Alligator mississippiensis: one gene and its partners. The protein of the gene in region 2 purifies or fractionates together with the protein of the main gene of each other region. This does not show direct contact. Links are inferred from orthologs where the notes say so. Each region holds a gene or a part of one and is shown on either strand. Other genes may lie near its edges. The genes, in order: SKI, RNF111 and SMAD7.

Region 1 (3,744 bases), on a different chromosome or scaffold from region 2:
ACATACCACGCACTACTAGTATACTCATTTATCATCAGGGTTTTTCTATGCAACCTTATAAGCAGCTACTTTTAGTCCAAATATATGCAGAGATAATTTAGCCCCTGTTCCCAGAGCTATTCAGTTAAGAGGGTTTTATGTATTTGTCCACAAGTCTGTTCCTCTTACTTTATGTCCATCTTCCTTGCCCTGACCTCCCCCCACTTTCAGCCTCTGATGCCAATGTCCTTACACCACTTCCATTCCCTGTTAAAGTCAGGAGGAGGGGGTAAGAGTTTGCAAGGACCACAGGATCGGCCCCTAAATCATAGACAAAAATTAATCTGTTTTTAAATTAAACCTAAAGCCTCTAACAAGAAAACCGATTTCAGCTTGCAGCTAAAAAAAAAAAAAAAGTGCTCTCTTTAAATGCTTCTCCCCCACCTGAACACACAGCGTGATTTTCCAGCATGACAGACTGCTGCATGGCTTTAACAGCAGCTCTGGTGCCCTGGACCTTTCTATCTCAGTGCAAGTCTGAAATCGCAGTCTGGCTCCTCCTGGCCCCCCTCATCTCGGTCTTCAAATAAAAAACTGGGGAGAAAAACCCCCAAACAACCCCCCCCCACAGACACACTTACTTACCCTGGGTGCTTTTCTCTTGTATTTGTTGTTGTAGTCAAATTTCTCTTTCATTTCATCCAAGAGCTGGCCCAGTCTAACTTTCTCCTCTTTCCCAGTGTAATCCTGGCTGAGGAGGATATAGGACCTCCAGTTGGCCGAGTCAAAGCCCCAGTGGCAAGTCCTGTTCTCCAGGGACTTGTGAGAGTGGACCACAAATTTGTGCGGTGGGTACATGAGCCTGCAGTCCAAGCACTGGATGCAGGCTGCGCTGGGGTTGCTGTAAAGCTCCGGCACCAGGAGTCCCTTGCACTTCCCGAAGCACTCGTGGTACACCTTGAAGCTCTTGTCCGTGTACTCCAGCTCGATGGTGCTGGAGAACTCCTTCTTGCAGTGCGGCGGGTAGGTGCCCCCGTAGAGCAGGGCATTGCACAGCCGCTCCGCGTCGGTTTTGGTGATGAGCCCGCAGGAGGGGGCAGAGAAGGGCAGGATGCCCATGACTTTGAGGATCTCCAGCTGGTCAGCCGTGCACCTGGAGCAGTAAATGTGCAGCTCGTCACACACCGAGTTGATCTGCTGCAGGGAAAAGTCCCTGAGCACCGAGTTCAGGATCTGGGGCAAGCAAAGCCGCTTCTCTCCCCCCACCACGAAGCAGGAGATGGTCTCCCCTTCCAGGATGGTCTCGCACCTCTCCGTGGACCTGTCCGAGGGCATGAAGAAGGGGCCTGGCATCACCGGGGGAGGCTGGATGGGGGGCAGATGCAGGACGGGCTCCGCCGGGTCCTTGCCATTGTCCTTCTTGTACATCTCCTGGGCCCATCGTGCGGAGAAAGCAGCAGGGCCACCCAGGGAGCTCATAGAGCTCAGATGAAACTGTTCCAAGGTTTTCTGCAGTCCTGGATGAGGCTGGAAGCTGCTTCTACTTACAGTCTCCATTTTTAGTTTCTATTCCCAAAACAAAACAAAACAACACAACAACAAAAAAGCCCCGCTGATCTTCCACCCTGGTAGCAATCCACTGAACGGATTAAAGGGGAAAAAAACCCAAAACAACCCAACCCCCGCTTCTTTCTCTCCTTCCCCGCCCTGCTCCGGCAATCCACTCGCGAGGGGGAAGTCCTCGTGTGCTGCTGCTCTTTTCTCGGCTCGTGCCCGCTCACAGCCCCCACGGCTCCCGGGCTGCCCCGGCGCGGCGGAGAGTGCGGCCGGCAGAGGTCTTCATGCAGCCTCGCCGCCCCGCGCCCGCCTCAGATCCGCCCCGGCGGCGGCTGCTCTGCAGCGCGCTCCCTCCTGTCCATGTCCGCCGCCAGCGAGGGGGGGCAGCGGGAGGAAGCGAGCTCGGTCCGTAGACGGGGAGGGGGGGAGGGAGGGAGGAGGGAAAGCGTGCGGATAAAATGAAAAGGCCGAATTTCTTGCCCTTCGGAAACGCAGCGGGGCCGCGGGCGGGCTCCCCGGGCTGGGCGTGGAGGCGCTCCGGGTCTCTCGCGTCTGTGGTGCGCGCGGGGAGCTGCAGCAGCAGAGCACGTCCTCCCGCTCCGCTCCCCGCCACGGACTGGAGCGCCTCGGCGCTGAGCTAATGCGCCGGGCTCAGCCGCCTCCGCCGCCGCCTCCTCCCCGCCCCCGCCCGCGCCCGCGCCCGCGCCCGCTGCGTGTCGGTGTCTGCCTCGCTCATTGCAGCGCGGCCAAGAATGGGACCGGCTCCCGGCCGCGACCGCCGCCCCCGCCCCGCCACCAGGGACAGGGGGCTTCCCCGGGCCTGCCCGCCGCACCCGCACCCGCACCCGCACCCCTCCTCGGAGCACAAACACGGGCCCGCCGGCTCCGCACCGCCCGGGCACGGCACGGGGCACCGCACACCGCGCACACACGCGCGTTGTGCGAGCTGGGGGCTATACCACACACACACACAATACACATAGCACAAGCACACACGTTGTGCGAGCTGGGGGCTATACCACCCCCCCCCCGCCAATACACATAGCGCAAACACACACACACGTGTGATTTGGGTGCTATACCACACACACACAATACACATAGGGCAAACACACACGTGTGATTTGGGTGCTATACCACACACACAACACACACATAGCGCAAACACACGCGCGCGTTGTGCGAGCTGGGGGCTATACCACACACACACACACACACACAAGCACACACGTTGTGCGAGCTGGGAGCTATACCACCCCCCCCCGCCAATACACATAGCGCAAACACACACACACGTGTGATTTGGGTGCTATACCACACACACAACACACACATAGCGCAAACACACACGCGCGTTGTGCGAGCTGGGGGCTATACCACACACACACACACACACACACACAAGCACACACGTTGTGCGAGCTGGGAGCTATACCACCCCCCCCCCGCCAATACACATAGCGCAAACACACACACACGTGTGATTTGGGTGCTATACCACACACACAACACACACATAGCGCAAACACACGAGCGCGTTGTGCGAGCTGGGGGCTATACCCCCCACACACACACACACACACACACAAGCACACACGTTGTGCGAGCTAGGAGCTATACCACCCCCCCGCCAATACACATAGCGCAAACACACACACACGTGTGATTTGGGTGCTATACCTCACACACACACACACAAAATACACACAGCGCAAACACACACGTGTGATTTGGGTGCTACACCACACACACACACGTGTGATTTAGGTGCTATACCTCACACACACACACACAAAATACACACAGCGCAAACACACACGTGTGATTTGGGTGCTACACCCCACACACACACACACACGTGTGATTTAGGTGCTATACCTCACACACACACACACAAAATACACATAGCGCAAACACACACGTGTGATTTAGGTGCTATACCACACACCAACACCCAATACACATAGCGCAAACACACACACATGTGATTTGGGTGCAATACCACACCCCCCAATACACACAGTGCAAACACACACACACACGTGGTGTGCGAGCTGGGTGCTATACCACACGCGCGCGCGCACACCCCCCGGATATACGCAGTGCAAACACACACACAGAGGTGGTGTGCGAGTTGTGTGCTATAACTACAGACACCCCCCCCCCCCGGCTCTGCATAGCGCAAACACGCGCACACACACACACACG
Region 2 (3,744 bases):
CAGCATCATCATATTCACAACCCCCTGCAATGCATATATGTAAATAAGGCATCCCTGAAGTCCCTTGCTTGCTTTAACTCAGCCCCAGTGAAGACAAATGCACCCTCTGGTTAAAACAGTTACTCAAGACTCTTTACACCATTGGCTTTGCACAGAATGTCAAAATAATGCAGATTGCATTTTGTCAATGGTTTGGTAGGCAACACCTTCCTGCCTTGACAGCCTTTAAAGTGTACACTACACTACCACTCTGCAACTGTAAAGTATGCAATTAAACCTTCTTTTCCTAGGTCCTCATGGGAAAGCCATGGCAGGGTGCCCTAGAAGAGTGGGTATACAAACCCTAAACATATTTTTCTAAGTCCCTAGTTACTCAACAAGTTAATATCAGATCTCATTTATCTCAAGTCTATCTATAGAGATGCAGAACAATCCACACTTTCCATTTGGGATTTATGTCCCGTCCCCCCCACATTTGCCCATCACAAGTGCCATTAATGACCACAGTACACAATCTGGGAAGATAATTTTAGTTATCATTCCAGTGGGTATAACCAGTACACTTATCTGTGGGTGAACACAGTGTTCAAACACCTCAAACATCTGCTAGCCCAACCTGAAAAGTTGGCTTGCCAACATTAGACTGATTAACCACAGGCCTGCAGCTGCCCAAGGTTGCTACAGCAAACCACTTCTGGACCAGCAATGCCTCATTTCACGTCCTGACATACTCCACATGTGCCTCTGCAAATGCATGCTTTCTAATGCACAAATTCAGTAGCCACCACTAGTTATCAAAGATCAGCATAATAATACAGTCCAAGAGTGCTGTATGTCCTGTACCAAGAATACCTGTCTATGCATGGGGGAATTTCCAGCTGATGTCAGCAAGCATCAAGTACCACAACTGCATTAGGGCGGAATCCAACCACAAATCTGCCACAACATTAGCACAGCAAGGGCCAACCTTTTTGTCATACATGCCACAAGTTAGCCCCACACCCTCCCCAAGTCTGAAACTAATCCCCTTCCACTGCCTGGTCTGCTTTCTGTCTCCTGTGCAATCTACCACATGCCATATGCACCAGCTGGCCATGCCACTTGTGGCATGTATGCCAGGGTTAGCCACCTCTATTCTAGAGAACAAGAACTGCTACAGAATTTCCACCACTGTTTCAAAGCACCCTCTCTTGGTATCATGCAATAACAATACACAGTGACAAGCAGGAAGAGCTCTTCCTCTGGTGTTGAATCTGTGGCGTGGCTCCAGCTGGAAGGAACATGAAGCAAAGCGTATAGAGCCAGAAACACCTTGGCTAGATGTGCTGGCAGGCAAGGAACATTTCAGTACAGGGCCCCAGGAAGGACAGACATGTTCTCCTATGATACACTATGAATTCATCTCTCTACTGTAGGGAGTAATAAAAAATGTTCAATACTGCCTTAGCAACTGTAACAACCAATGCTTCAATATAGAACAATGTGTACATGGCCACCTGCATACAGAGCATGCTCTGCAGCATGGATGCACGTAAAAATGTACTTGACAAAACAAGAGAGTACATGAACATTGAGACAATCACTCCAGAAATATCCTTAGCGTGCTTAGTTTCAGCCTTGGGTTAAACTCAGCCTGTTACATAAATTGCGATTTGTTCAGCAGTAAAGCTGCAGGCATCATTTTTTGGTAACTAGGAACATTACTCCAAGGCAAACATAGTAAACTTAGGATCAAGGAGTTGTAGCCTTACAAGATAATTTACCTTATTGAAGCTTTAGGTTAACCCCCAATTTAACACTTCAGCAAAATGTTTCTAACGTAGCTGCTGTAGTAACACAACTATCAGATAAAAACAAAAAAAAAAGAGCATATATACTGGTGTTGTGCTGATATTCTTCAGTTTGCAGACAACTCTTTGCTGCTGCATGCATCTTCACGAAAAAGCAGAAACTGTACTCCTCATGATGACATTGAGATGCAATTCTGTCAAGTCATTTCATAGACACACAAACCATACTCACTAGCAGTGATAATTGAAAGGATAACTGAAACCATGATGACTCCAAGCAAGTCAGTCATTCTGCCTCAGACCTCACCCAATGCCACAGTACGAGCGTCTATAAATACCTTCCAGGAGAGTTCAACTGTGACTTGGTTGTGAAGCACTGCGGTTAACACTTCCATAGGCCCTCATATTGAAATGAAATACATAACCTCTATTTGTTGCAAGGAGGTAACCCATGTGATTTTTTTCTTTAAAAGAAGGATTTAATACGAGCCCCCCCCAGTTTGGACAACAGCTCAGTGGAAATCTTTATCACTTTCCGTTACAGCCAGTCACTGACCACCAAGTGCCAGCTTGGGATGAGTGACTTTTGCTTTGGTTCATCCAGGACTTGGTCACAAGAAGTGGGGCAGCTCTTTAAACCAAAGACGCTCCAGCTTAAGGTGAAGGTTAAGGAAGCAGCTCACCTTTTAGTGGTGGCTGAAGGCTTCTTTCCCATAAAGACCCTCGTAGCAGCAAACAGGAAAGCACAGGGAGCGGCGCAGCAGCGGAGCCGGCTGGCGACTCCCCCTCTCTGGCACCACAATTTCCTCCCCTCCTTCCACAGCTGTCAAGGACCCTGTCGGGCAGGGCCCGGGGAGACGCCTGCTCTCGCGTTAAGGCAGGACCAGACCCCGATTTCAACAGGTGCAGCCCCAGGGCCCCCCCCGCGGCCCGGCTGAAGGACACTGCGGCGGGGCCGAGGCGCACGAAGGGCCCCGCGGGCGGCAGGCGCTGCCTCGGCGGGGACCCGTGGGGCCGAGCAGCCCCTCGCCTCGCCGAGGCCGGGGAGGAAAGGGCTCCCGGCCCCGCTGCGTCACCGCGCCCCGGACAGCGGCCGAGCCCGGCCCGGCGCGGAGCCGCCCCCACCTACCTCACACATCGGCGCCGGCTCGGGCGGCGGGTATCGGGTCGGCCCGCCAGGCCCCGCGCCCTGCCCCGCGGCCCTCCCGGCCGCGCCGAGAGCAACCCGCGGCAGGCGCAGCCCGGGCGCTCGCGGTTTTGTTTGCTGCGCAGCCCCCGCCGCTGCCGCCGCCGCCGCTCCCTCCCTCCCTCCCCAGGGGCAGCGCGACACTTGCCGCTGCTTTACGGCAGCCCGCAAAGCGCAGCCGCGCCGGACAGCGCTCCTCCTTCCGCCAGCGCCCCCGGGCGGCGCCTGCAAGGGCGCGGCCTGCGCGGCAGCGCCCCCTCCCGGGCGGAGGTGGCCATTGCCCGGCCCCGGGTGCTGCAACAGTCGCGGCACAGAGCCGGGCCGAGCGTGAGCCGCGCAGAAGCTTTTGAAATAGTAAATGCTGAATTAATTGAATCTGCTCTTTGGTTCCTGGTCTTTCCTGGAGCACTTGCTTCACCTTGGCCGTCTCCTCTCCCGTGCCCAGGGCTGGAAACTTGTCTGCATAAAACGTAGCTCGGACATCGGAAGACCGGTGACAAAGCCAAGCGCGATAAGGAATCGGGCGTGATGCAGAGACAGGGCGGGGCACAGGGCCTGCTTCCCTCTGCATCAGCCTTTGGGTTACTCTAGTTCAGTGCTGCCAGCGCTCAGGATCGTTGGCCTTGTTCTTAAAGTCTACGCTTCGGGAATGCGAGACTTGGCTCTTTCTTTTATATATTATATATACTGTTATAAATACAATATAATGATATATATATAAAAGAAAGTCACATTCCCAAACGCCAAAAATCCTGGGAGTTGGCAATA
Region 3 (3,744 bases), on a different chromosome or scaffold from region 2:
GCACATGTCTATATTTGCAATCTACTAAGGCAAATCTTATTTCTTAACACTCCTAGGCCTGGCTGCTCCTCCAGGCTCGGAGGAAGGACCCAGGCGAGCCAGGAGCCTGCAAGCTCTGGGGCTCCCACTTCAGGGCGTTTCCTGGCCCCCACCTGCCCTGGGTGCAGCACCCCCCTGCAGCCCAGCTCGCCCGTGGGCTCCGCCAAGCCCCACTGCGGAGCTCTCGTGCTCCCTCCCCGGGGCTCAGCTTTGCCTCGGGGCGACCCGGCTGCACCATGTCGCCTCCCTTTCTTCTGCGGGGCTGGGGGAAGAGCCTGCTCGCTCGGATCCCTGCCCTGCTCCTCTCTCTCTCCCTCTCTCTCTCTCTCGACTTCAGGAATAAAAAAAAAATAGATTTTAGCAACCCGATCTCTTGTTTGCGCAACACAATCACTTTTTTTTTTTTTTTTTTTTAAAGCGACAGGGTGTCTAGACGCCCACGTGATTGGGGCCGGGGCTGGGCAGCGCCACTGCGCACTGAGAGCGCCGAGGCGAAGCCGGGGGAGGCGGCGGCGGCGGCTGCACGGAGGAGCGGCGGGGCGGCCGCTGGGCACCGGGGCATGGGCACGGGGAGCTGAGCCGAGCCGAGCCGAGCCGAGCTGAGCTGTTGCTGGCGGGGGACAGGCTCTGCTCCCCGGGAAGCAAGGAGGCAGCGGAGGGGAGAGAGAGGGAGAAGCCAGGAAGGAAAGCCGAGCCGAGCCGAGCCGAGCCGGAGGAGCTGCTCCTTCCCCCCCGCCTCTTCCCTGCGTATCGGGAGCCGATGCGGGGAGGAGGCAGCCGCAGGCAGCGCGCAGGGCTGAGCCGGAGCCGGAGCCGGAGCCGAGCCCTCGGGGCTGGGGACCGTCGGTAGCGAGAGGATCCTCCCGGGCACCTCGCAGCAGCCGCCGCCTCCTCCGCGCCCCGACCCCGTCCCCGTCCCCGTCCCCGCCCGGGCGCGGCGGGAGGAGTTTGGGGACAAGTCGACTGGAAATAAAACTGCCCGCGCGGCTCCCGCTGCCGGCGCGGCCACGAGACGAGGGGGATCTCACCCTCGGATGTGATTGATTTTTTTGGGGGGGGCGTGTGTGATGATTTTGTACCTTTTTGACACATTTCAGATTTTGATGATGACTTGAACTGAGCTTGAAACAAGCAACCCCCCCCCTCACCCCCCACGTTGTACAGCTTTCCTTTCTCCCTGCCCCCCAAAACTTCCCCTGGGCTGGAATCGGTGGATGTTTGACTCCGGAGGATACCGCGAGTTTCCTTTTTCTGTTTTTCATTTTTTTTCCCTTCGTCTTGTTTTCTGCGAGGAAGATCTGCTCTGCTCGGGGGGCGGCGGGGGCGCTGCGTGTTTTGGGGGGCGGCTGCTGATTTGATCGGGGGCCGGTGTCGGCGGGCGGGCGCGGCTCGATGCCGGGCGCGGAGCCCCGCGGGAGCCCCGCGCCCCGTCCCGCCGGCTAGCGCCGCACCGCGCCGCGCCGCCGAGCGAGACTGGCGCATGTGGCACCGCGCTGGGGCTCGCGGGCTGCCGGCGCTCGCTGCCTGGACGCGGAGCCCGGATCCTTCATGACTTGCGGACGACATGCTCGTTTTGTAGCCGGGCACCCCGCTCCTCGTCCCGCATGTTCAGGACCAAACGCTCGGTGCTCGTCCGGCGACTCTGGAGGAGCCGCGCTCCCGGCGGGGAGGACGAGGCGGGCGACGCCGCCGCGGACAGCCGGGCGCATGGGGCCGGCGGCGGCCGGGGCTGCTGCATGGGCAAGGCGGGCAAGCTCGGCAAGGCGGCGCTGGGCTCCGAGGCGGAGCTGAAGGCGCTGACCCACGCCGTGCTCAAGAGGCTGAAGGAGAAACAGCTGGAGGGGCTTTTGCAAGCCGTGGAGTCCCGAGGGGGCACCCGGACCTCCTGCCTCCTGCTGCCCGGCAAGGTGGACTCCAGACTGGGTCAGCATTGGTACTCCCTCCCTTTGCTGCTATGTAAAATATTCAGGTGGCCCGATCTCAGGCATTGCTCGGAAGTCAAGAGGTTATGTTGCTGTGAATCTTATGGAAAAACTCATCCAGAGCTGGTCTGCTGCAATCCCCATCACCTTAGCAGGCTCTGCGAACTAGGTACGGACAAGGGGGGGACACGCGTGTGCGCGCACACGAGACACACGTACGCGCACGCACACACATGTGGTTTGTATGGATTGCATGCACACACGTGTGTGGTCTATGGACTACACACACAGGCTGTACACATGTCCTATATGGGCTGCACACGCATGTGGTCTAGACTACACACACGTGTCTATGGACTGCACACACACACACACGGTCCATATGGACTGGTTGGACACTTGTGAGTGTGCATGGGGGTGGCAGGGCTGGGGGGTGCGTGGTTGCATGTGCGGAAAATTTGGGGGTGGAAAGAGGTGCTGAGCCTGGGGGTTTGGTAGCGGCGCTGAGCGGGCAGAGCAGGATGGTGCCCGCCCCGGGGCTGCGGGAGGGGAAGGATTCGGGAGACTTGAACTTGGGGGCTTGGCCCGGCCTGGCCTGAGCGGCAGAGCAGCCCGCCTAAGCACCGGGGGACAGGCCCCCTTGCTCCTCCGTGCATACAGACATGCCCAGCCGGGCTGGGATGTGCAGGCGCTGGGGGCCAGTGGGTCCCAGCCCCCGCCAGCAAGAAAACGTTTGAGAGCTGCAGCCATGCTGCCGCCTCCTCCAGGCACAGCTTTGTGTCTCCAAATAAGCCCCAGCAAAAAAAGTGTCGGTGCATTTGCCTGGCCAGTGGCATGAAGGCAGGGCTCCCCCGGCAGTGCTCGTGGTGGTGCTGTTCCGGGCGGCGTGGCGCCCCCGGCCCGACCCGGCCGGCCTCCGCCTCTCCCCTCCTCCTTCGGAAAACATGGCAATTACTTGCAAACTTTGCTTAGCTGCTGTAGCACAGAAATCGGCCCCTTCTGACTAGTGGGGAATTGCTGAAGGGCAGCCCTTGATTATTATTTTCCTCCTTCCACTTCCCCCCCTCTTCCCCCCAGCCTTTCTTTTTTTTTTTTTTTTTTTTCCCTTTTCTGTGAAATGTTAAATGTGTATGCAGCTAGCAAGGATTATCTGGCAGTCGGGATCAGTTGGTGATTTCCAGAGCTGGAGTGTTTTAGCTGAGCCAAGGAGGCCCTGATCAGACAGCCAGAGTAGCAGATAGCAGGGAGACTGGCGCCAGGCGGCCCCTTTTGTTTATCTGACAGCTAAATATCAAGGCAATCGCCGCTTAGCTGCCCTGCCTCCAACCCCCAGAGCTAAGACAAACAGTTTTGCTAAAAGAATGCCACTGTTATCATAAGTTCCTATCTTTTTTTTCTCATGGCTCTGCCTTTATTTTCTCTGTACTTTTCTAATTCCAGAGTCTCCCCCTCCGCCCTACTCCAGATATCCAATGGATTTTCTCAAACCAACTGGTAAGTAGACCTTTAAACAGAGGCTACTGTCTTCAGATAAAAAGGGAAAACAACTCTTTCTCCGGGGAAATGTTTCTTGCCTTTGTTACACGTCTGATGCATTTCACTTTTTGACCATTTCTCTGGGGTGTTCTGTGCTTTTTAACCCCCCTGCCCCATAAGAAGAAATACATGTTTTGACTCTGAAAAAACCTCCTGCGGCTGTCAGATTTAGCAGGGGATCTGGTAGGGATGGTGATTGCAACTGCTGGCTTTTCCCAACAAGGGACTTGGAACATTTTGGGATGGA

The links.
Region 1: the proteins of RNF111 (region 2) and SKI purify together in Homo sapiens (affinity purification with western blotting, with the first as the bait; 3 studies listed by BioGRID). This does not show direct contact. The link is inferred for Alligator mississippiensis from reciprocal best matches to the Homo sapiens genes RNF111 and SKI.
Region 3: the proteins of RNF111 (region 2) and SMAD7 purify together in Homo sapiens (affinity purification with western blotting; 3 studies listed by BioGRID). This does not show direct contact. The link is inferred for Alligator mississippiensis from reciprocal best matches to the Homo sapiens genes RNF111 and SMAD7.

What each region holds. Positions count from the first base shown.
Region 1 is NC_081836.1:13,631,930-13,635,673, reverse strand, and holds the start of SKI (ski oncogene), read right to left. Parts: upstream 2,175-3,744; 5' UTR 1,537-2,174; coding exon 625-1,536; intron 1-624. UniProt on the Homo sapiens protein: May play a role in terminal differentiation of skeletal muscle cells but not in the determination of cells to the myogenic lineage. Functions as a repressor of TGF-beta signaling.
Region 2 is NC_081834.1:38,758,942-38,762,685, forward strand, and holds the start of RNF111 (E3 ubiquitin-protein ligase Arkadia), read right to left. Parts: upstream 2,559-3,744; 5' UTR 2,506-2,558; coding exon 2,474-2,505; intron 1-2,473. UniProt on the Homo sapiens protein: E3 ubiquitin-protein ligase. Required for mesoderm patterning during embryonic development. Acts as an enhancer of the transcriptional responses of the SMAD2/SMAD3 effectors, which are activated downstream of BMP.
Region 3 is NC_081826.1:289,549,763-289,553,506, forward strand, and holds the start of SMAD7 (mothers against decapentaplegic homolog 7), read left to right. Parts: upstream 1-1,412; 5' UTR 1,413-1,643; coding exon 1,644-2,130; intron 2,131-3,401; coding exon 3,402-3,455; intron 3,456-3,744. UniProt on the Homo sapiens protein: Antagonist of signaling by TGF-beta (transforming growth factor) type 1 receptor superfamily members; has been shown to inhibit TGF-beta (Transforming growth factor) and activin signaling by associating with their receptors thus preventing SMAD2 access.